3 linked regions of the Stegostoma tigrinum genome follow. The protein of the gene in region 1 purifies or fractionates together with the protein of each later gene. This does not show direct contact. Links are inferred from orthologs where the notes say so. Each region holds a gene or a part of one and is shown in the gene's direction. Other genes may lie near its edges.

Region 1 (7,761 bases):
GAAACAAACATTGAAAATCCTCAAAATAGGACACTCGCAGTGGTAATGATAGAGTCATTATATCACAAAGGAGGACATTCAGCCCATCAAGTCTATCCCAGTTCTCGCAGCGTGAACCAGTCGCTGCTTTTGGAACTTTACCGTCTCCTTTCAGTTAAAAAAAATGCACATTTCTCTCGTGTCTTCCCCACCTTCCGAGCACTCTACAGCAGGGTTTTTGAAGTATAGCCTCTTTTGGATTGCCGGAAAGCACACACTGCCAGAATTGTTCTGGCGCAGAAAGATGCCATTCAGCCCATCGTTTTTCCACTTCTGTGATGACAATCTCATTCCCTTTGGAAAGCTTCCATTGAACCTGCCTCCACCACAACTCCTTGTTCTTCAAGTATCATGCCAAATTTTTTCCCCTTTGCCTGAGAGAGGTGACAGGATTAAAGGCTCATGCGAACAGCAGCACTCCCTCAGTACTGCACTGTGGTGCGTCACCCTCACAGTCATATAGGCCCTTCGGCCCAACGCATCCAGGTTTCCCAAACCTTCCAGTCATGGTAACATTCTTGTCAATCATTTTTTTGCATGCTTTCCAACTTAATAACATTCTTCCTATAATAAGGCAACCAGAATTATACACAGTATTCCAAAAGTGGCCTCAGCAATGGCCCTGTACAGCCACAACACAATGTCCCAACTCCTATACTCAATGGTCTGAAGTAATGAAGGTAGGTACCCAGAACAGAATTATAAACTAAAAGTAAAACCCTGTGGTTGCCAGAAATCCAAAGCAAACACAGAGAATGCTGGAGAAACTCAGCGAGTCGGGCAGCGTCTGTGGGGAGAGAAACGAGTGAGCGTTTCAAGTCTGCAGAACATGAATTGTGAATGTACACTGTAAAGATAAACTGTAAGGACGAGTTTAATGAGGCTTGTCACAGTCCGAAAAGCAGTCACGTTGAACTTGTAACGTTAACTCTCGTTTCTTTCTCCACAAGGTCTCGGAGGGGAACTCGCAGGGCAGTGGTGTTCCCATGTGTCTGCTGCCCTTGTCCTTCTAGATGGAAGTGGTCATGGGTTTAGGAGGTGTTGTCTGAGAATCTTTGGTGAATTTCTGCAAAGCCTCGTGAAGATAGTTCCTATCTCTCTCTCCCTCTTACCCCAACATGAATCGATTCAAATTGTTCCCCTACTCGGGGCGACCGAATTAAGCCTCGCCAGATGGGTAACAGATTTGTCGTGGTGTGAGGCTCCATCACATCTTGCTTTATGACAGGGTAGAAAGCTTCTATTTTTCTAGCCTTTCTTCTTGAATGGCAGCCTACCATTACCCTTTGCTGTCATGTAGTCCTGCAGCATAACCACGGTCTTGTCCAAATGCAATTTACGTCCTCGAATTTGTACCATCCACCTTCCCCTATGCAACACAGATATGGCAGATCCACAGAACCGTAGCAGCTTACAGGAGGTCATTCAGCCTCTTGAGTCTATAGTGGCTCTCCAAAGGAGGAACTCAGTCAGTCCCACTCCCCCTTGTACCCCTGAATAGGATTCCTTTGCAGATTCTTATCTCATTCCCTTCCTGAAAGCATTGATTAACCCTGCCTCCATTACACTCTCGACCACTTGCATTGTAGACTCTAACCACTCGCTGCAGTAAAAGGGTTTTTTACTGTGTGCTGCCCTTGTATATTTCACCAATCACCTTACACCAGTTTTCCTACCACTCTGCCCAGACCTTTCTTCATTTTGAACAGATTCCCCCTCAGTCTTCTCTTCTCCAAGGGGAATAGTCCCAGCTTCTCCAACCTACTCAAAGTGTCTCACCCCAGGACCATTCTCATGGATCTTTCCTTCACCCTCTCACATGCTTCATGTAGTGCAGGACCCAGAACTGGGCGTAATCATCCACTAAAGGTCAAACCAGTGTTTTCTAAAGGTTCATCACAGAATCCCTATAGCGTAGTAGCAGGCCATTCAGGCCATCAAGTCCACGGTGACCCTCCAAAGACCATCCCATCACACCCCCACCCCTCAATAACCCTGCATTTCCCATGGCAAACCCACTTAGCTTCCTGGACACCATGGGGCAATTTAGCATGGCCGATCCACCTAGCCTGCACATGTTTAGACTGTGGGAGGAAACCGGAGCACCCGGAGGAAACCCACGCAGACACAGGGAGAATGTGTAAACTCCACACAGACAGTTGCCTGAGGCTGGAATTGAACCCGGGTCCCTGGCGCTGTGAGGCTGCAGTGCTAACCACTGAGCCACCGTGCTACCCTTACATGCTTTTACTCACAATGCTTCGATATATAAAGCCTAAAGTCCTGTACACCTATGAAGCATTTCCTCAACCTGCCTTGCCACATTCCACAGTCTGTGTACATTTAACCCCACATCACTCTGCTCCTGCAACCTCTTTAGAGATGTACCCAACCTTATATGATGCCTTGCTTTGATCTTCCTATCAATATAGTTTGCTTCTTTGCATTACATTTTCCACATGTCTGTCTATTCTACCAGCCTATCCATGTTATTATGATCCCAACTGATGTTAGCACTGGAAATGCCAGATCCTGGGCAGAAATCTGGCTTGACAGATCGTATCTTGTCTTTCTTTAATTCAACAAGGTAGTCTTTCATTGAAATACAAACACATAATGCTATAGATAACAAGGTGTGGAGCTGGAGGAGCACAGCAGGACAGGCAGCATCATAGGAGCAGGAAAGTTGATGTTTTGGATCGGGACTCTTCTTCAGAAAATTCATTCCTTGAGTGTCCATACAACTGACCTTAGTCTTTCTCAGCTTCAAATAACTCCTTCAAGGTTCTAACCAAGCACTTCTGGTCTAGGGTTTCCAAGCTAAACTCCTGATGGTGAGGTAACCTATTTTCTTAACAATTCTTAAATATCGCCCTTCTTTAGAAGAGGCTATTTTACACATCTCAGGTTCACCAGGACATGAGCTATAGGTGTTTCCTCATGCAAAAAAAAGCTGATTTGTTTAACTGAAAGCCGAGCACTTCTCAATGTTTAGCCTGTTTACTCAGTAAGCTTTCCCAATACAAATACATTCCCACTGCTTCTCCAAAAAAACCCCTCTCTCATCGTTTTTTTTGAAAAGAAAAATGACAGCTCTGGATATAGTGGCAAGTTAATCATTCAGCTCTCTCTCATACACAGATCAAAGCCCAAATGCCACTAGTCCAAAATCCAAGTTCTAAACTAAATTATAATAAAACCTATATAAACCACACAGCTTACATCACAATGTCCTCATTCACTCTATCATCATCCTCCTCAGGGTTCACAATAGTTGTATCATCTGGAACTGTTGAAATAAGCCCTAGACAAGTAAATTTTGGTCATTAATATAGATCAAGGAAAGTAATGGTCCTCATTTCAACATGGCAAACTCTACTCCTCCTTTACAAAACAACCTTTCACCCCCAACTGTTCTCTGTCACTCAGTTAACTGCATAACCCCTGTTGCCACTGTCCCTTGCATGCCTCACTTTTGCCAGCAAGACCATTATGTGGCACTTTGTCAAATGCTTTTCAGAAGCCTATTTAAATCAAATCAGCTGTATTACCCCCATTAAACATTTGTGTTACTTCATTAAAAAAATCTCTATCAGGTTAGTGGAACAGGACTTGTCTTTAACAAATCCATGTGAGCTTTCCTTCGTAAATGAGTCAGGCGACGATTAATGTTAATCCCAATTATCACTTCTAAAAGCATTTTAACCATGTAGGTTAAACTGACTTCTTCTCTTCGTCAAACCTGAGCTCAGCCAGTATCTTAAGTATGACAGCGGCTTCCTCATTTGTGGCACGGTGGCTCAGCGGTTAGCACCACTGTGTCACAGCGCCAGGGTTTGATTCCACCCTTGGGTGACTGTGTGGAGTTTGTACATTCTCCCCATGTCTGCATGGGTTTCCTCCCACAGTCCAAAACTATACAGGTTAGGTGGATTGGCAACGCTAAATTGCCCATAGTGCAGGCTGGCTGGGATGGCCAAGGGGGATGCAAGGTTACAGGGATAGGGTGGATCTCAGTGGGATGCTCTTTGGTGGGTTGGTATGGACTTGATGGGCCAAATGTAAGGATGCTAAGATTGTTAAAAGCAGATGCAGTGTACTCATTTGATACCTTGGATGTGCATTTGTCCCTAACTGATCTATCCCTTCTCTTCATGTAATTTTGTTACTTACATATCCCAAAAAAGCTTTTGCATTCCCTTTTGAATTGACTGCCAATCTCCACTTATTTTCTATTTGTCTCCCTTCCTCACTTACCCTTTGAACTTTCTAAAAAAAACTCTCAATGATCAGGCAGCATGTAACTCACTGGAAAAGCCTTGGTTAGCCCAATGACTACATGTTACAACGTGACACCGAATAAAACCATGTGGATTTAACTCTCCCACCAGCTGGCGCTGTTCTTGGGGCCTTCTCCGTTATTTTGCAGTCTCCGCCCTGAGGGTGGCGCTGCTTCTGGAGTTCAAGACTTCGCCCTCAGTGTGACGCCATTTCTGGAGTTTCGCCCTTGTCCTGAGGATGGCCCTGTTTGTGGAGTTTAGTCTCCGCCCTGAGTGTGTCGCCGTCTCTGGAGTTCAGCATCCGCCCAGAGGGGGGCGCTGTTTCAGGCGATTAATTAACGCATGCGGGCTGGGCCGCGTACCGGAAGCAGTGTTATCGCTTTCCGGTGCGAAAGAGTTCCTTCTCGAAGATGGCGGCGCGAGGCTTCCAGACAATGAGCCCGGGCGCGGCGGCTGCTATGGCAGCGGGTCCGGGGCCTGGCCAAGCACAAGGGACGGGGCAGGCCCCGGGCAGGATAACAGGAGCTCAACAACAAAACATGTTCCGTTCAGCCATGCCAGGCCAGGGATACCCGGTAAGTGAGGGGCCGGGATATGGAACTATGTGTGATGAAGGGGGTGGGGGGAAAGGCGAGGCCCCTTGTCCTGACCAAGGCAGGTCCCATTCCTTAAATCGAACCGGCCACAGCCAGCAAGCTTCCTTTCTTGCCTCCTGAATGACCAGATTGGTCTTTCTACATCTGACCTGACCCTAGCTTCCTTTGTTTCCTTCAGTTGGATAATTGATTGCATCCCCTAAGGCTGCTTCACATTCTTGCCTTGCTCTTTAGGCCCGAACAGACTGGTTTGTAATGTCTTATGATTATTTTTCTACAGTTATGTAAGTTGAAAAGATTTTATTTTGAGTCATGTTCAGATTTGACTCTTAGTCTTGAATTTGGAAGCTAGTTGTGGTTAAATCTGAACAAGATGCTACTGATGTAGGAAACTTGAACTTAAAAAGAGAAAAATGCTTGATATTCTCAGGATCCCTGTGGCTTTGATAGAATCATAGGGGTTTTGTTCAAAGGTGGCTGATGTACCTGGCCTGCTGAGCAGTTTAAAACATTTTCTGTCCTGTGTTGAAATACAGGCAGATGGTGATGAAAGCTGTTGGCTGTGAGAACCAGGTGTAAATTGTGTATGGTAGATAGTGTTTCTCTCAGGCAGTGACTGAGAACCCTAGTTCACCACAAATTGGCCAGCAAATGTTAACAGAAAAGCAAAACTTGTATTTATATAAGGCCTTTCACAACCACCAAATATCTGAAAGTGCTTTTGATGAGTACTCTCAATAATAACACAGGAAACATGGCAATCAATTTGTGTACAGCCATCCCCCACAAACAGCATTGTGATAAACAATTTGTTTTGGTGATGTTGATTGAGAAATAAATATTGTTCAAGACTCCAGGGAGATTGCTACTGTACTTGTAATCACAGAATGATTATGGCATGGAGGGGTTGTTCAACTCTGCTGGCCTGTTGAAGAAGCAGTTTGCTTCTTGCCATTCTGCCTTATCCTGCAAATGCTTCTGGTTCAGACAAAAATACAAGTCTTTTTTGAAAGTCTCATTTGATCCTGCCTTCACCACACTTGCAGGCAGTGCATTCCAGATTCTAACTGCCTCATGTCTTAAATTGGTGTCTTCGGGTTCTTGATCCTTCAACTAATGGGAACCGTTTCTTTCTCTGTACTTTGTTCAGACCCTTCATGGCTTTGAACACTTCGATCAAGTCTTTTCTCAGCCGTTCCCAAGGTGAATAGTCCCAATTTCTCTAATCTGGCACTAGATCCACTTGACACACCACCTTCCCAAAATCTAGGCCCAGCTAAATCTTTCGCATTGGACTCAACATACTATTGTAGAAAAATTCTCCAGAGCACACTCTTTGTACTCTTGTTTGTCTCTTCCCTTTATGCTACTGTTATCTTAGTTTTTATTTGGATTATTAAAGTTCTCTCCCATTATAACTCCTCTGTGTAATTCTAATGCCTCTGTTATTTCCTTGCAAATTTGTTCCTCTACATTTTTCCCACTACTTTGTGGCCCATAGACTACACCAAGCAATATAATTAGACCTTGTTCCCTAGTTCTAAAACAGACTTTGTACTTGACACCCCTGAGGAGCACACTTTCTCCAGTACTGCAGTATCTTTCCTGGACACCTTTTATTCAAGCATTCTGAGCATCAGGTCCTTCTGTAAGTTTAGTCTTCCCATATGTCAGTTTGCACTTGTTGCTCACCAGTCTGCACATTCCCAAATGTCCACAATAATCCTAATTTAAACTTTATTCCTTCTCTCTTACTCCTAGTCTGACCCTGCCTGGTATGTTGCTATTGGCTATTCGAATGTTGTCTGTTTCTGCCTTTGCTTTCTACACCCCTGTCAGATTAGTTTAAATTTTCTCTGATAGCATGAGCGGCTCATCTTGCGAGAAAGTTGTTCTGAGCTCTGTAAGACATAGGAGGTGTGGAAGTAAGGCCATTCGGCCCATTGAGTCCACTCTGCCATTTAATCATGGCTGATGGGCATTTCAACTCCACTTATCCGCACTCTCCCCGTAGCCCTTAAATTCTTGATCTCGCAAGGAATTATCAATCTCTGCCTTGAAGACATTTAAAGTCCCAGCCTCCACTGCACTCCATGGCAATTAATTCCACAGGCCCACCACTCTCTGGCTGAAGAAATGTCTCCTCATTTCTGTTCTAAATTGACCTCCTCTAATTCTAGGGCTGTGCCTAGTCTCCCTGCCTAACAGAAACAACTGCCCAGTGTCCACCCTTTCTAAGCCATACATTATCTTGTAAGTTTCTATTAGATCTCCCCTCAACCTTCCAAACTGTAATGAATACAAATCCAGATCCTCAGCCGTTCATCGTATGTTAGGCCTCCCATTCCAGGGATCATCCGTGTGAATCTCTGCTGGACACGCTCCAGGGCTAGTATTGTCCTTCCTGAGGTGTGGGGCTCAAATTTGGACACAGTATTCTAAATGGGGCCTAACTAGAGCTTTATAAAATCTCAGAAGCACATCGATGCACCACTGCTACTGAGCATCATGTTAGCTATACCTGTATCCCTTTGCACAATTGATAATGAGATATCTATCAATTTATACCTTAAACATACTGAAAGACTGAGCGTCCACAGCCCTCTGGGGGTGGGGGAGAGAGTTCTAAAGGTTCACAGCCCTTTGATTAAAAGAAATTCTCATCTTGGTCCTAAATGGTATTCCCCTTATTTTTTAAATGGCGTCCCTCCCTCCCACTTCTCAACTCCCCAGCAAAGGGATGTATTTTGCTTGCATCTCCTCTTTATCCCTAAAATATTTTGTAGGTTTCTCATTCTTTGAAATTCTTGAGGAACAGGCCCAGTTTGCACAATCTCTCTTCATTT
Region 2 (7,897 bases), on another chromosome or scaffold:
ACTGGGGATGTACATTGGTGACAGAATGCCAGCATCCGTTACTATCCAGGGGTGATGCCCAGCCATTTGTGACGAATGACCGTTTAAAAGTCCGAAAGCACCAAAGGCCCTGGAGATATTTGTCATTCCTCGACTGAGGAGGCAAGGGCCGGCAGGAGAAACTGCTGCCATGGCTAGTAAACCCGTTAACATACATCATGTACATATCAGTATCACTGAGCTGCCTGTTCTGGGCGGAAAGGTCCCTTTCCAATGGGAATGTCACACTCCCAGCCGCTGATGGGGATCGTTCGGCGGGAGGGTCACTGCCAGCTATGCGTTGTGTGCGGTATAACTTTAGAACAGTGAGAACTTTTGAGAGCCGGGTCCCCTGCACTACTGCCCCCCGCCTGGTAGGGTTCCTGACGGGAGTGGGCTCCAGAATCCCAGCCGCGGCTCGGCTCTGGGTGCTCGGCCTCCGCGCCACAGAGGGAAATGGTGGCGACCACCATTCACCGGCTCCCTGCCCAAAGCCTGCCGCTTCTGATCTAGGTCCATTGCCCGGACTCCAGCCGCTAATAATCAACCTCCGGACACAGTTCCGGGGCTGGGGGACCCTTACACAACGATCAGCAGAATACAACGCCATCTTAACTGCCCGCCTTAAAGGCGGGGCCCAGGCCTTGACGAACAGGCACAACTAATCACAAGGCTCTATCCTCTGAATGACATTACACCTAGCCACTCAAAACGTGCCGACCTCAGCCAATGACAGTGGCCGTTCCCAATAGGTCCCGCCCACAGGATCTTGATTGACGGCTCAATCTGACGTTCCGAGGAATCACAGGCTGGCACTTCAATTATCGTGGAAAGAGACCGACATCCAAGTCTGATTCCGCTATAAGTTTTAAACGATATTAAGGGAAACTTTATTCGTTATCGTCCATTAGTTGGGAAGGAAACACACGTGCATGCATCGTGTTCCCAAAGGTGAATTGATTTGAACAATAAACATCAAATTTACAAGCTGCAGAAAGTGTTGGGGGCCACTCAGCAGATCTGCACAGATAATTATCAACATTGCAAGGTGGATTGACTTGGGTTAGAAATATTTACAAACTTGGTTTACCGGAAGATAATTTTTTAACAGAAAAATGCAGTTTTGATAAAAAGTCATAGATCTGTAACATCAGTGGTAGAGGAACTTTGGAAAAAGTCTAATGGACTAAATTATTCTCCACTTGGAGAGGCAAGGATTAATAATGGATAACGAGCATGCCTTTGTCAGGGGGGAGATCATGTCTGACAGGTTTGATTGAATTTTTCAAGGAGATGACTTCAAGTATAGATGACAGTAGTAAGACTTTTGTCAAGTAAAACAAAGAATTGCAGATGCTGGAAATTTGAAATATAAACAGAAATTGCTGGAGAACTGAAACAAAAACAGAAATTGCTGGATAAGTTTCTGTAGCAATTTCTGTTTTTAGCTTTTGAAGAGGTCAGGTGGATTGACCATGCTCAATTGTCCATATTATCCAGGCATGTGCATTAGCTGTAGGAAATGTGGAGTTAAGGAGACAGGGTTGGGCCTGGGTCTGGTGGGATGCTCTTTGGGGGAATCAGTGAGACTTGATGGGCCTCTTTCTGCTATGTAGTGATGCTATTACTTTAGGTCTTATATGGCAAGCTGTTTAAGAAGCTAAAAACCCATCAAATCTAGGGCAACTTTGGTATCCTCGATCCAACATTGGCTTCATGGCATGATGCAGAAGTCAAAGGTTGTTTCTGTGACTGGAAGCATGTGTCCAGTGGTGCATTAAAGGGTTCGTTGTTGAATTCCATGCTATAATGTACATTAATGATCTAGATATGAATATAGGTGGCATGATCTGATAGACATGAATACACGAGTAAGGAGGTTATGATGGAGGTTCATACAATGTTATTTGTGCCAAAGCTGAAGTTCTATGTGCAGTTCTGGTCAGCATATTATAGTAAGGATGAGGCTGCATCATAGAATTCCTACTGTGTAGAAGCATGCCATTTGGCCCATCAAGAAAATCACCAACCCTTGGTGCAGGATATTCACCCGGTTGTTGAGTGGGTTCAGCAATTCAGGTATGAAGCAAGAATGGGCAGGTTAGGAAGTGTTTTCCTTACAGCAGGGAAGCTGAGGAGGGACCTGATTGAACTGTACAAAGTAATGAGGGGCATTTAGAGGGCAGATATGAAGAATCTTTTCCCCTTAGTTGTTCAGTCAGTAACCAGGTGGCACACTTTAAGGTATGGAGCAGAAGGTCTAGAGGTGATAAGAGAAAAATAAATTCACCCAAAGGCTGATGAGTATCTGGAATTCATTACCTGAAAGGATGGTACACGCAAGAACCATACAGACATTTGAGAATTATTTGGCTGAGCACTTGAAATTGCCATAGCATAACAGCAGGCCAAGTACTGGAAAATGGTATTACAATAGATAGATGTTTGATGACCACACAGCAATGATAAGCCAAAAGACCTTTTTCCAAAGTGTAAAAACTCAATAAGTAAACATGAATTCTGTTCCTCTCTACCGATCCTATCTGACTTGTTGAGTTATTTCCGTCACTTGAGGTTGCAGACTTGCTTGCTGAGCTCGTGTGTTTGATTGCAGATGTTTTGTCACCATGCTAGGGAGCACTGTCAGTGCACCTCTGGTGAAATGTTGGTGTTCCGTCCCGCTTGTTATTTATATGCGTCGGTTTGCTGGGGTGGTTGGTATCACTTCCGGTTTTATTCTTCAGCAGTTTGTATATCGGGCCCAGTTCAATGTGCTTGTTGACGGAGTTCTGGTTGGAATGCCAGACCTCTAGGAATTCCTTGGCATGTCACTGTTTGGAGAACTACAATGGAAACTGAAATACTTAGTTGACAACACTAACCACTCCATCCACTCCTCTTAAGAATTCCTCAACATCACCTAGGACACCAGAATAGAAGAGGATGAGATAATGGTATCCTTCAAAGTAACAGCACAATTTACATCCATAAACTTCGGCCTAGCGAAAGAGACAATTGCCACACTGCTGGACAAATCAGGAAGGCAAACACCCCATGACACTGACAGTACACTGAAATTACTGGAACTGTGCCTCACAACACAATTCACCTTCAACAGCCATATACTGAAACAAATCAATGGAACACCAAAGGGATCTCCAATATCAGGAATGACAGCAGAAGCGTTAATGCAAAAGTTAGAATGGACAGCGCTCACCACTATCCTAAACTCTGAGTCTACACTGTAGATGACACCTTCATGATTATCAAATGCACAAGACTAGAAGAAACCCACCTACACAAACAACATTCTCACCAGAATAAAATTCACAAAAGAAGAAGAGAACAATAACTGACTATCCTTTCTGGATGTCATGGTAGAACATAAGAATAACAGGGAACTCCAGACTAGTATACACAGAAAAACAAGACATATGGACCAGATACTTAATTACACCAGAAACCATCCCAACACCCATAAACGGAGCTGCATCAGAACATTATTCAAACGAGCTACAACACAATGCAGCAACCCGAACTGCACAAAGCATAACATGAGTACTTCAGCAGACTTTTTAAAAGGAATGGATGCCCAAGAAGCACAATCTGCCTCTGCAACAGACCGCAGCAAGAAGACACAATACAGCCAGACATACTAGTCACCCTACCGTACATCAGGGATATATCAGAGATGACCACGAGACTACTCAGAACCCTAGGTATCAGGGTAGCCCACAAACTAACAATCATCCTGTGACAGCTACTGACGAATGTAAAGGACCCCACCCCACAACCAATAAAACTGATGTAATATACATAATACCATGCAAGGACTGTGAGAAACATTACATAGGCCAAACTGGAAGAAAACTGACAATAAGGCTACATGAACACCAACTGGCTACCAAAAGACACAACCAATTCTCACCGGTCTCAATACACACGGACAAAGAATGACACAAATTTGACTGGACCAACACATCCATAACAGCACAAGTCGAAGACAGACATGTCAGGAAATGCCTGGAGGCCTGGCATTCCAAACAGAACTCCGTCAACAAACACATTGAACTGGACCCAATATACATACAAGTGAAGAACAAACCGGAAGTGATACCAACCACCCCAGCAAACCGAGGTACCTAACTAGCAAGTGGGACTTAATACCAACGTTTCACCAGAGGCATACTGATGATGTTACCTAGCAGAGTGACGAAACGTCTGCAATCAAACACACTGGTTCAGCGGGCAAGTCTACAATCTCATCCACAACCTGAGCTACAAATCTTCGCAAAAACTTTAAACTTCCATCACTTGCATCTGCAGCATTTTGCTTGTATCTGTACTGAACTTTTCTGAAAACTGAAAGAACTGCGGATGCTGTAATTCGGGAATTAAAACTGACATTGCGTGCAAAGCTCCGTGGGTCCGGCAGCAGTCAATGACCAGAAACGTTAACTCTGATTTTTTCTTCACAGAAGCTGCCAGACCTGCTGAGCTTTTCCAGCAACTTCTGTTTTTGTTCTCAATTTTTCTGATTTGGTTTCCATTTCGTTTTTTTCTCTCTCTGTGAAAGTTCCTTAAGACATGTTATGTTAAAAATACCGCATTAATGAAATAAAAGCATTCTTCATCTTTTGCCAAAAACAAATGGGACGACGGAAGGGGCTCGAAGATAACCTGGACATCACCTTGCAAGAAGGTCCTGATGACGTCGACCATGCACGTGCCAGGGCTACGTCAGGCCGACGCACAGCGCAGGCGCAGAGTCCGGCTTGCGGATCGGGGCCGTGCTTGTCAGGATAGGAGATAAAGTTTTATTATCCAACAAAATCGCGGATGAAAAGATGTCGGGCCGGTCGGTGAGAGCAGAGACACGCAGCCGAGCCAAAGATGACATCAAAAAGGTTATGGCAGCTATCGAGAAGGTCCGAAAATGGTGAGCCGCTCTCCGGTAAATACTTTTATTGAAGGGGGAAAGACGACGCACGGGCGGGAGCAACGGCATCCGGCGGCGGAAGTGATGTGAGGGAGATTTGATTGACGGTATGTTCAGCCATTCAAGGACGATGGCGACCCCCGGTTCCTGTGGTAACCGCGTCTCGGGACTGACGGGGAGCTAAGGAGGCGAGACTTCTGGTTGTATTGCAGGACATGGGTGGGCAGGGCCAGTTTGATTCATTTGCTGAAAGTCTCAGAGTGAAGTCAAATCAGTAGTAAAGTAGGCCACGTTCTGGAGCATTATTCTTTTCTGGAGGAAGAGTAGGCTGGCTTCTGTTCGCCCACCAGACTTTTTTTATTAAACATAGCCCTAAGTGTCTAGTCGTAAATGGCCCGTAGTCTTGTTTAAAACTGAGGCCATCAGATAGTGAACGGAAGGTCTGTGTATCATTTCTCTGAGATGTTGGTAGAGCACTGTTCAAGGCATGCAGTTAAATTCCAGAAGTTCTTGTTATTGTTACACTACGGCAGGAGAGACATCACTGATACAGTGGCTGCAGTCTCTAAATCACCTTCAAGGACAAGTGCTGTAGAAGCCTGTAAACATCACCACTTGCAAGTTAATAAAGTATGAAGCTGGATGAACACACCAGGCCAAGCAGCATCTCAGGAGCACAAAATCTGACGTTTCGGGTCTAGACCCTTCGTCAGAGCTGATGATGAAGGGTCTAGGCCCGAAACATCAGCTTTTGTGCTCCTGAGATGCTGCTTGGCCTGTTGTGTTCATCCACCTTCACCCTTTATTATCTTGGATTCTCCAGCATCTGCAGTTCCCATTATTTCCGATACCACTTGCAAGTTCCCTTCCATGTCACACACCATTTTGACTTGGAACTTTATTAACTTTCGTTGTGCATGGGTTAATATGCCGGAACTCCTTATCTGCTCTGTGGGGGTCCTTACATCCTAACAACGCCAGCAGTTAAAAAAGATAACTCACCACCACTTTCTCTAGGGCAATAAATGCTAGTCAGTGATGTCCATATCTCAAACAAAAAAGGTTTTAATCTATGGTCTTGTAAATTTTTCCGTTCCTTCTCCAAACAAATTAAATAAGGACATTTAAATTAAATAATTAATAAATAACGATGTTTCTTATTGTTGCAATGTATTTTCACTTCTTCTGTATTAGGAATCCAGGCTGCCTGTGTTGCAACATACAAGTGTCTTCCACTTCTTTCGCTGCCTGTAGGTATCTATCTGCGCCTACAATGGCTCCCATTCTTGCTGTTGCAATCAAGCCTTTTACCTTAAAGTGCGCCAAAATTTTTATCCATTCATGGGAAGCAGCAAGACAAAGCAACATTTATTGCTGATCCCTAATTACCAATAGGGCAGTTAAGAGTCAACTACATTGCTGTGGGTCTGGAGTCATATGGAGGCCAGACCAGGTAAGATGGTAGTTTCCTTCCCTAAAGGATGTTAGTGAACCAGATAGATTTTCCTGACAACCAACAATGGATTCATGGTCAGCATTAGATCCTTACTTCCAGATATTTATTTAATTCAAATTTCATTATCTGCCGTGGACATACTTGCCTCTGTTCTGTAAAGATTGTAATTTGGAGAAAATAAAATCGAGTAAGAGTGCAGCAGTTGGTTAAGAAACTAATAAGGGATGTCTTTTTCTGTAATAAATTGACATACATAACCAATTGTACCAGGTATATATAAAAGAAAAATACTGCAGGTGCTGGAAATCTGACATAAAAAACAGAGGTGCTGAAGAAGCTCAGCAGGTCTGGCAACGTATTTGGAGCAAGAAAATTTCTGAGATCAGTATAGCTTCTTCAGAATGGAAAGGTGCTGGAGAGTCATAGTTTTTAATGCTATTGATATAGAGGGGAGGAGGAGCCATTGGAACAGATGGTGAATGTGCTCCAAAGCAAAAGATCACGGCAGTGAGAAGGAGTACTAAATATGCAAAGTAGGTATAAATGATGGCCGTAAAAAGGAAAAAAATGAGTCCACTTTGGTGAGAGTTGTATTTATTAGTTCCGGGAATTGGTTGGCACTGCCGCCTCACAGTGCCAGAAATGTGGGTTTGATTCTAACCTTGGGCAACTGTCTGTGTGGAGTTAGCACATTCTTCCCTCGTCTGCACCAGTTTCCACTGGGTGCTGTACCTTCCTTCCCCAGTCCAAAGATGTGCAATGGCCATGCTAGAACTGCCCAGTAGTTATTGGGATGTGCAGCCTAGGTGGATTAAGTTTATTTCTGGAATAGTTAAACTCAATGTTGAGTCCTGAAGCCATTAGCTCCTTAGGCAGAGGATGGGGTTTGTTTCTCCAGCTTGTGTTGAGCCTCATTATCACACTGCAGCAGGCCTGTCACAGAGATGTTGACCAAGGATCATGATGCTGTTTGAAGTGGAAGGCCACTGGAGGCTCAAGGTCACTTTAATAGTCGGAGCAAAGTTGTTGCCCAGTCTGCATTTTGTCTCCCCAATGTAGAATTGACCAGATTGTGAACAGCGAATGCAGAAACCTCATTGAATGAAGTGAAGGTAAATCGATTTCACCTGGAATGTGTGTCTGGGGTCTTGAAGTGAGGAGGGAAGAAATAAACGGGCAAGTATTGTCCCTTCTGTCATTGTATGGGAAGGTGTGATGGGGGATGTGGGCGTGTTGGGCAAGGACCAGGGGAATGGCCCCTCCTGACTGATGACAAGGGAAGGGAGTGAATATTTGTGTGGTGGAGGCATTCTGCCGTAGGTGGGAACAGTGGATTACGATCTTTGTATGTCCAGCCTGACGAGGTGTAAAGAGAAAGGTGTGCTCTATCTTTTGTGGGAGGGGATGGAAGGGGTGAGGGCAAATGGATTGGTCATGGCTGTGGTCCTTGGTGCAGGAAAATACTAGACATTTCTGAGGCACCC
Region 3 (7,601 bases), on another chromosome or scaffold:
AACAAGATCCAGCTGGTTCCTATCGCTACAGTACCCAAGGTTTAGCAGACTGATTCCTGAGATGGCAGGGCTGGCATATGAGGAGACACTGAATTGGTTAAAATTAGAGTCGCTGCAAAACTGGGGCCTCTCATAGATAGCTGTAAAATTCAAACAGGACTAGACAGGGTAGATGCAGGAAGGATACTCCCAGTGATGGGGAAGCCCAGAACCAGGGGTCACAGTGTAAGGATGTGGCAAAATCCAATCCCAAGAGCCTGCATCTGGCCCACATCTCTCGCAATCTTCCCGACTCATGTACCCGTCCAGATGCCCTTTAAATGCTGTAACTGTACCAGCCCCCACCACTTCCCCTGGCAGCTCATTCCATACCAACCATCCTCTGTGTGAAAAAGTTACCCCTCAGGTCCCTTTTACATCCTCCCCCTCTCACCTTAAACCTATATCCCTCTAGACTCCCCCCCACCCTGGGGGGAAAAGACCTTGTCTATTCACCCTGTCCATGCCCCTCATGATTTTATAAACCTCTATAAGGTCACCCCTTCAGCCTCTGAAGCTCCAGGGATTATCGCTGCAGCCTATTCAGCCCCTCCCTGTCGCTCAGACCCTCCAACCCTGGCAACATCCTTGTAAATCTTTTCTGAGCCCTTTCTATTTTAACGACATCCTTCCCACAGCAGGGAGACCTGGATTGAACACAGTTTTCCAAAAGTGGCCCTAACCAATGTCCAGTACAGCCACAACGTGGCCGTCCCAACTCCCTCTACTCAATGCACTGACCAATAAAGACAAGTACCAAATGCCTCCTTCATTATCCTATCCACCTGTGACTCCACTTTCAGGGAGCTATGAACCTGCTCCCCAAGGTCTCTCTGTTCAGCAACACCCCCCAGGGCCTTCCCATTAAGCCCTGCCCTGATGTGACTTTCCAAAATGCAGCATCTCACATTTATCTGAATTCAACTCCATCTGCCTCTCCTCGGCCCATCGGCCCATCTGATTAAGGCCCTATTGTACCCTGATGGAACCTTCTTCACTGTACACTGTATCTCCAATTTTAGACTCACCTGTAAACTTACCATATCAAAAGCCAGTCCCAAGAGCCTGCATTTGGCCCACATCTCTCTCGATCTTTCCAACTCATGTCCCCGTCCAGATGCCCTTTAAATGCTGTAACTGTACCAGCCCCCACCACTTCCTCACGACACCAGGTGAAAGTCTAACAGATGAAGGAGCTGTGCACCGAAAGCTTGTGATTTCAAATAAACCTGTTGGACTATAACCTGGTGTCTTGGGACTTCTGACCTCTGTCCACCGCAGTCCTACACGGGCACCTCCACATCTTGGCAGACCAGCCATACCCCTTATGTTCTCATCCAAATCATTGAAGCAAATGACCATCAGCAGTGGGGCTTTTAGTGACTTGGAGAGAGCAAGGCCTGCAGGTGCTGGAGTCAGAGATAACACAGTGTGGAGCTGGAGGAACACAGCAAGCCAGGCAGCATCACAGGAGCAGGAAAGCAGATGTTCCGGGCCTGGACCCTTCATCAGGACTGGGGAGGGGTTAGGGAGCTCAGAAATAAACAGAGGGAGGTGGGTGGGCCTGGGGGAAGGTAGGTGGGACGGTGATAGGTGGATGTAGATAGATGGTGGCGGGGAATGGTGAGTGGGATGGGTGGGGATGGATGGGTGGGAGAGAAGATGGACAGGTTGTGTCAGGTCAAGGAAATGAGAGGGAGGGTTGGTCATGAGATGAGGCTGGGGGTGTGGGAAGATTTTAAAACTGCACTCGACGTTAAGGCCATCAGGCTGTAGGCTCCCGAGGTGGAATATGAGGTTCTGCTCCTCCAGTTTGTGGGTGGCATCATTGTGACACTGGAGGAGGCCCAGGATGGATATGTCACCCAGGGAATGGCGGGGGGGGGGGGGCAGTTAAAATGGTTTGCAACTGGAAGGAGTCATCGTTTGTCGTGTATGGAGTGCAGATGATCTACAAAACGGCCCCTAAGTCTGCACTTGGTCTCACTGATTTAGAGGAGGCCACGTAGGGAGCAGGAGATACAGGAGCCAAGTTGACAGATGTGCAGGTGAACCCCCATCTAATAGACAATAGACAATAGGTGCAGGTGTAGGCCATTCGGCCCTTTGAGCCAGCACCACCATTCATTATCCTGTCACAATCAGTATCCTGTTCCTGCGTTATCCCCAAAACCCCTGACTCCACTATCTTTAAGAGCTCTATCCATCCCTCCATGACATGGAAGGTTTGTTTTGGGCCTGGGACGGGGGGTGAGGGGGGAGGTGCAGGGGTATAGCGCTTCCTGTGGGTACAGGGAAGGGTGGTGGGGTTAGTGGGGAGTGTGGAGCAGATGAGGGAGTTGCGGAGAAGGCGGTCCCTATGGAAGGCAGATAGTGTGGGGCGGGAAAATATATTTGGCTGTGGGCTCGGATTGTAGCTGGTGCAAATGGCGGAGAATGATACTTTGGATGTGGAGGTTGGTGGGGTGATATGTGAGGGACAATGGGGCTTCTGTCTTTATTTGTGTTGGGGGGGAGGGGGTGTGAGGACAGAAGTGTGGGAAACACAAGAGATGAGGTTGAGGGCATTTTCAATCACTGGGTGGGGGGAAGTTATGGTCTTTGAAATAGGGGTCCATGTGCGGGAGTGGAATGCCTCATCGTGGGAGCAGATGCGGCGGAGGCGGAGGAATTGGGAATAGGGGATGGAATTTTTGCAGGAGGGTGGGTGGGAGGAGGTGTATTCTAGGTAGCTGTGGGAGTCGGTGGGCTTGAAATGGACATCGGTTACAAGCTGGTTGCCTGAGATGGAGACTGAGAGGTCCAGGAAGGTGAGGGATGTGCTGGAGATTGCCCAGGTGAACTGAAGGTTGGGGTGGAAGGTGTTGGTGAAGTGGATGAACTGTTTGAGCTCCTCTGGGGAGCAAGAGGCGGCGCCGATACAGTCATCAATGTAACGGAGGAAGAGGTGGGGTTTGGGGCCAGTGTAGCAGAAGAGGGATTGTTCCACGTAACCTACAAAGAGGCAGGCATAGCTGGGGCCCATGCGGGTGCCCATGGCCACCCCCTTAGTCTGTAGGAAGTGGGAGGAATCGAAAGAGAAGTTGTTGAGGGTGAGGACGAGTTTGGCTAGGCAGATGAGGGTGTCAGTGGAGGGGGACTGGTCGGGCCTGCAGGACAGGAAGAAGCAGAGGGCCATCTGCATGAGGAATACAGGTGTATAGGGACTGGACGTCCATGGTGAAGATGAGGTGTTAGAGGCTGTGGAATTTACAGAGGTCCACTCTAAGTTTGTAAGAAGGAGCACAGACCTGAAGTTTTTTTTTAAAGCAGGTGGCAGCGCTTTAGAAATACTACAAATCACAGAATCTAGTTATGTTTGATTTATTGAACAAATGTGGGTCAAAACTCATTACCATGTGCCTGCACCAAAGCAGGGATTAAATAGCCAGCTCGACCTCAGTAACACTAGTACGTTGCGCATTTTAGGAAACAGGTTTGCAGTAATTGTCCTGCAAGAGATTGAACTCTCATGGCATGAACGTGTTCCTTTAACTTCCATTAAACCAAAATTGTCGATCCCTTTCATTCTTCCACAGAGAGACAGGGTACTTCGCAGTACCAAAGCTTAATTTATGAAGGTCCACACCAGGCAAACAAACAAGCAGGAGCTGCCTCCAACCTTTAGATTTGTCAGATACGTAGAAAATCAGAGAAGAGTACAGGAGGACATTCAGCCCGTTGAGTCTGCAGGGTCGGATTGTGCTGATTGTTGAGTCAATGTGATGGGGATTTGTCAGGATACCAAGTCTCAGCACTGAGTGACCATTTCACACTCACTGGCTCCCCTCAGCCAGTCCACCCTGTCGCTGCTCCTTCCTTCCTCTGAGGCTGAGTGGGAGCAGTCCCCCTCTGCTTCCCTGTCTAAGGTGAAAAGATTCAGTCTCCGAGTCCTACAGCACAGAAACAGACCCTTTGGTCCGACCCATCCACCGAGCTTGTTTTCCAAACTGACTCAGTCCCAGCTGCCTGCGTTTCGCCCATATCGCTCTCTAACCCTTTCCTGTTCATGTACCTGTCCAGATGTCTTTTTCAAATGCTGTAAGAGTCCCCCACACCCACCACTTCCCGTGGCAGTTCATTCCACACACAAACCAGCCTCTGTGTAAAAAAATTACCCCTCAAGCCCTTTTCAAAACGGTCTCCTCTCACCTTAAAAATACAACCCCTAGTTTTGAACTCGCCCACTTTAGAGAAAAGGCCTTGACTATTCACGTTCTTTATGACCCTCATGATATTTATAAACCTCTACAAGGTCGCCTCTCAACTTCCTACACTCCAGTGACAGAATTCCCAGCCTTTCAAGCCTCTCCTTATGACTCAAACCCTCCGATTCCCAGTGACGTCCCGGTACATCTCTCCCGAGCTCTCTACAGCTCAATAATATCCTTCCGAAAACATGGAGACACCAGAAATGCACATGGTGCTGCAGAATAGAGCGCCCCCAATGTCCTGCACAAACTCAACACAACGCCCCAACTCTGGCACTCAGCGGTGACCCACTCTCTGTCGGTGGGGCAGGCCAGAGGGATGGGGGGAAGCTGCTGGGGTGGGAGGAGGGTAACTCAGACCAGAGCCTCCCTGTGCAAAAGCACTCAAATAGCTGATTAAACTGAGCATCTAGAATCCTTTGTCCCAGGCATCACACTGAAGGGGCAGGGGATTATGCCAGCCCTGCTTTAACACTCAGTAATTCAATAATAAGCAAACTATCACGACTCAGCTCACAGGACTGACCCTCAAATCAAATATGAGTCAGCTGGAACAAAAACAGAAGTTGCCGGAAAAGCTCAGCGGGTCTGGCAGCGTTTGTGAAGGAAAAAAATCAGAGTAAACATTTCGGTTCCAGGGACCCTTCCTCAGAACTCAAACCCGAGACCAAAGGCTTAGTCACCAATGGAGCAGTGAGAGAAATTCAGGGGGGTTCAGGTGCCAAAGATAGGGAGGGGGTGTAGGGGCCAGAGGGGTTGCCAGAGATAGGGAGGGGGTGTAGGGGGTGACAGAGATAGGGAGGGGGTGTGGGGGCTGGAGAGGGTGACAGAGATAGGGAGGGGTGTGGGGGCTGGAGTGGGTGACAGAGATAGGGTGGGGATGTTTGGGCTGGAGGGGGTAACAGAGATAGGAGGGGGTGTGGGGGGGTGACAGAGATTGGCAGGGGGAGTAGCGGCTGGAGTGGGTGACAGAGATACGGTGGGGGTGTTTGGGCTGGAGGGGGTGACAGAGATAAGGAGGGGGTCGAGGGGTTGGAGAGGGTTACAGAGATAGGGAGGGGGTGTAGGGGCTGGAGGGGTTGACAGAAATAGAGGGGGGTGTAGGGGCTGGAGGGGGTGACAGAGACAAGGAGGGGGTGTTGGGAATTGAGGGTGTGACAGAGATAGGGAGGGGGTGTAGGGGCTGGAGGGGGTGACAGAGATAGGGAGGGGGTGTAGAAGCTGGAGGGGGTGAAGAGATAGGGAGGGGGTGTAGGGGATGGAGGGGGTGACAAAGATAGGGAGGGGGTGTGGGGGCGGGAGTGGGTGACAGAGATCGAGAGTCGGTGTAGGGGCTGGAGGGGGTGACAGAGAGGAAGGGGGTGTCAGGGCTGGAGGGAGTGACAGAGATAGTGGAGCGGGGGAATGGGGGATAGTGGAGAGGGGTGATTGGGGTTAGTGGAGAGGGGGGATTGGGGTTAGTGGAGAGGGGGGATTGGGGTTAGTGGAGTGGGGATGGGGGTTAGTGGAGAGGGGGGATTGGGGTTAGTGGAGAGGGGGTATTGGGGTTAGTGGAGAGGGGGGATGGGGGTTAGTGGAGAGGGGGTATTGGGGTGAGTGGAGAGGGGGGATGGGGGTTAGTAGAGAGGGGGGATTGGGGTTAGTGGAGAGGGGGGATTGGGGTTAGTGGAGAGGGGGGATTGGGGTTAGTGGAGAGTGGGGATGGGGGTTAGTGGAGTGGGGATGGGGGTTAGTGGAGAGGGGGTATTGTGGTTAGTGGAGAGGGGGAATTGGGGTTAGTGGAGAGGGGGTATTGTGGTTAGTGGAGAGGGGGGATTGGGGTTAGTGGAGAGGGGGGATGGGGGTTAGTGGAGAGGGGGTATTGGGGTTAGTGGAGAGGGGGTATTGGGGTTAGTGGAGAGGGGGAATTGGGGTTAGTGGAGAGGGGGTATTGGGGTTAGTGGAGAGGGGGGATGGGGGTTAGGGGAGAGGGGGAATTGGGGTGAGTGGAGAGGGGGAATTGGGGTGAGTGGAGAGGGGGAATTGTGGTTAGTGGAGAGGGGGGATGGGGGTTAGGGGAGAGGGGGAATTGGGGTGAGTGGAGAGGGGGAATTGGGGTTAGTGGAGAGGGGGAATTGTGGTTAGTGGAGAGGGGGTATTGGGGTTAGTGGAGGGGGGGATGGGGGTTAGTGGAGAGGGGGGATGGGGTTAGTGGGGAGGGGGATGTGGGCTTAGTGGGGAGGGGTTATTGGGGTTAGTGGAGAGGGGGGATTGTGGTTAGTGTAGAGGGGGGATTGTGGTTAGTGTAGAGGGGGGATTGTGGTTAGTGGAGGGGAGGGATTGGGGTTAGTGGAGAGGGGTATGGGGCTTCGTGGAGAGGGGGTATTGGGGTTAGTGGAGAGGGGGGATTGGGGTTAGTGGAGAGGGGGGTATTGGGGTTAGTGGAGATGGGGGATTGGGGTTAGTGGAGATGGGGGATTGGGGTTAATGGAGAGTGGGGATGGTGGTTAGTGGAGAGGGGGGATTGGGGTTAGTGGAGGGGTGGGATTGGGGTTTGTGGAGAGTGGGTATGGGTGTTAGTGGAGAGGGGGTATTGGGGTTAGTGGAGAGGGCGGATGGGGGTTAGTGGAGAGGGGATGGGGGTTAGTGGAGAGGGGGGATTTGGGTTAGTGGAGAGGGGGTTGGGGGTTAGTCTAGAGGGGGGATTGGGGTTAGTGGAGAGGGGGGATTGGGGTTAGTGGAGAGGGGGTATTGGGGTTAGTGGAGAGGGGGTATTGGGGTTAGTGGAGAGGGGGATGGGGGTTAGTGGAGAGGGGGGATTGGGGTTAGTGGAGGGGTGGGATTGGGGTTTCTGGAGAGTGGGTATGGGTGTTAGTGGAGAGGGGGTATTGGGGTTAGTGAAGAGGGCGGATGGGGGTTAGTGGAGAGGGGATGGGGTTTAGTGGAGAGGGGGGATTTGGGTTAGTGGAGAGGGGGTTGGGGGTTAGTGGAGAGGGGGGATTGGGGTTAGTGGAGAGGGGGGATTGGGGTTAGTGGAGAGGGGGGATTGGGGTTAGTGGAGAAGGGGATGGGGGTTAGTGGAGAGGGGGGATTGGGGTTAGTGTAGAGGGGGGATTGGGGGTTAGTGGAGAGTGGGGATGGGGGTTAGTGGAGAGGGGGTTGGGGTTTAGTGGAGAGGGGGGATTGGGGTTAGTGGAGTGGGGATGGGGGTTAGTGGAGAGGGGGGATTGGGGTTAGTGGAGAGGGGGGATTGGGGTTAGTGGAGAGGGGGGATTGGGGTTAGTGGAGTGGGGATGGGGGTTAGTGGAGAGGGGGTATTGGGGTTAGAGGAGA

The links.
Region 2: the proteins of smarcd1 (region 1) and B-cell CLL/lymphoma 7 protein family member B-like purify together in Homo sapiens (affinity purification with mass spectrometry; 4 studies listed by BioGRID and IntAct, counting the BioPlex papers as one, with this or other methods). This does not show direct contact. The link is inferred for Stegostoma tigrinum from reciprocal best matches to the Homo sapiens genes SMARCD1 and BCL7B.
Region 3: the proteins of smarcd1 (region 1) and zinc finger protein ubi-d4 B-like purify together in Homo sapiens (affinity purification with mass spectrometry; 9 studies listed by BioGRID and IntAct, counting the BioPlex papers as one, with this or other methods). This does not show direct contact. The link is inferred for Stegostoma tigrinum from reciprocal best matches to the Homo sapiens genes SMARCD1 and DPF2.

Annotation. Positions count from the first base shown.
Region 1 is NC_081404.1:15,151,889-15,159,649, forward strand, and holds the start of smarcd1 (SWI/SNF-related matrix-associated actin-dependent regulator of chromatin subfamily D member 1), read left to right. Parts: upstream 1-4,715; 5' UTR 4,716-4,729; coding exon 4,730-4,894; intron 4,895-7,761. UniProt on the Homo sapiens protein: Involved in transcriptional activation and repression of select genes by chromatin remodeling (alteration of DNA-nucleosome topology).
Region 2 is NC_081380.1:13,827,213-13,835,109, reverse strand, and holds the start of B-cell CLL/lymphoma 7 protein family member B-like, read left to right. Parts: upstream 1-4,773; 5' UTR 4,774-4,865; coding exon 4,866-4,957; intron 4,958-7,897. Other genes in the region: uncharacterized protein LOC125464656, read right to left, coding at 1-628. UniProt on the Homo sapiens protein: Positive regulator of apoptosis. Plays a role in the Wnt signaling pathway, negatively regulating the expression of Wnt signaling components CTNNB1 and HMGA1.
Region 3 is NC_081395.1:3,497,462-3,505,062, reverse strand, and holds the start of zinc finger protein ubi-d4 B-like, read left to right. Parts: upstream 1-4,477; coding exon 4,478-4,572; intron 4,573-4,927; coding exon 4,928-5,007; intron 5,008-7,601. UniProt on the Homo sapiens protein: Plays an active role in transcriptional regulation by binding modified histones H3 and H4. Is a negative regulator of myeloid differentiation of hematopoietic progenitor cells. Might also have a role in the development and maturation of lymphoid cells.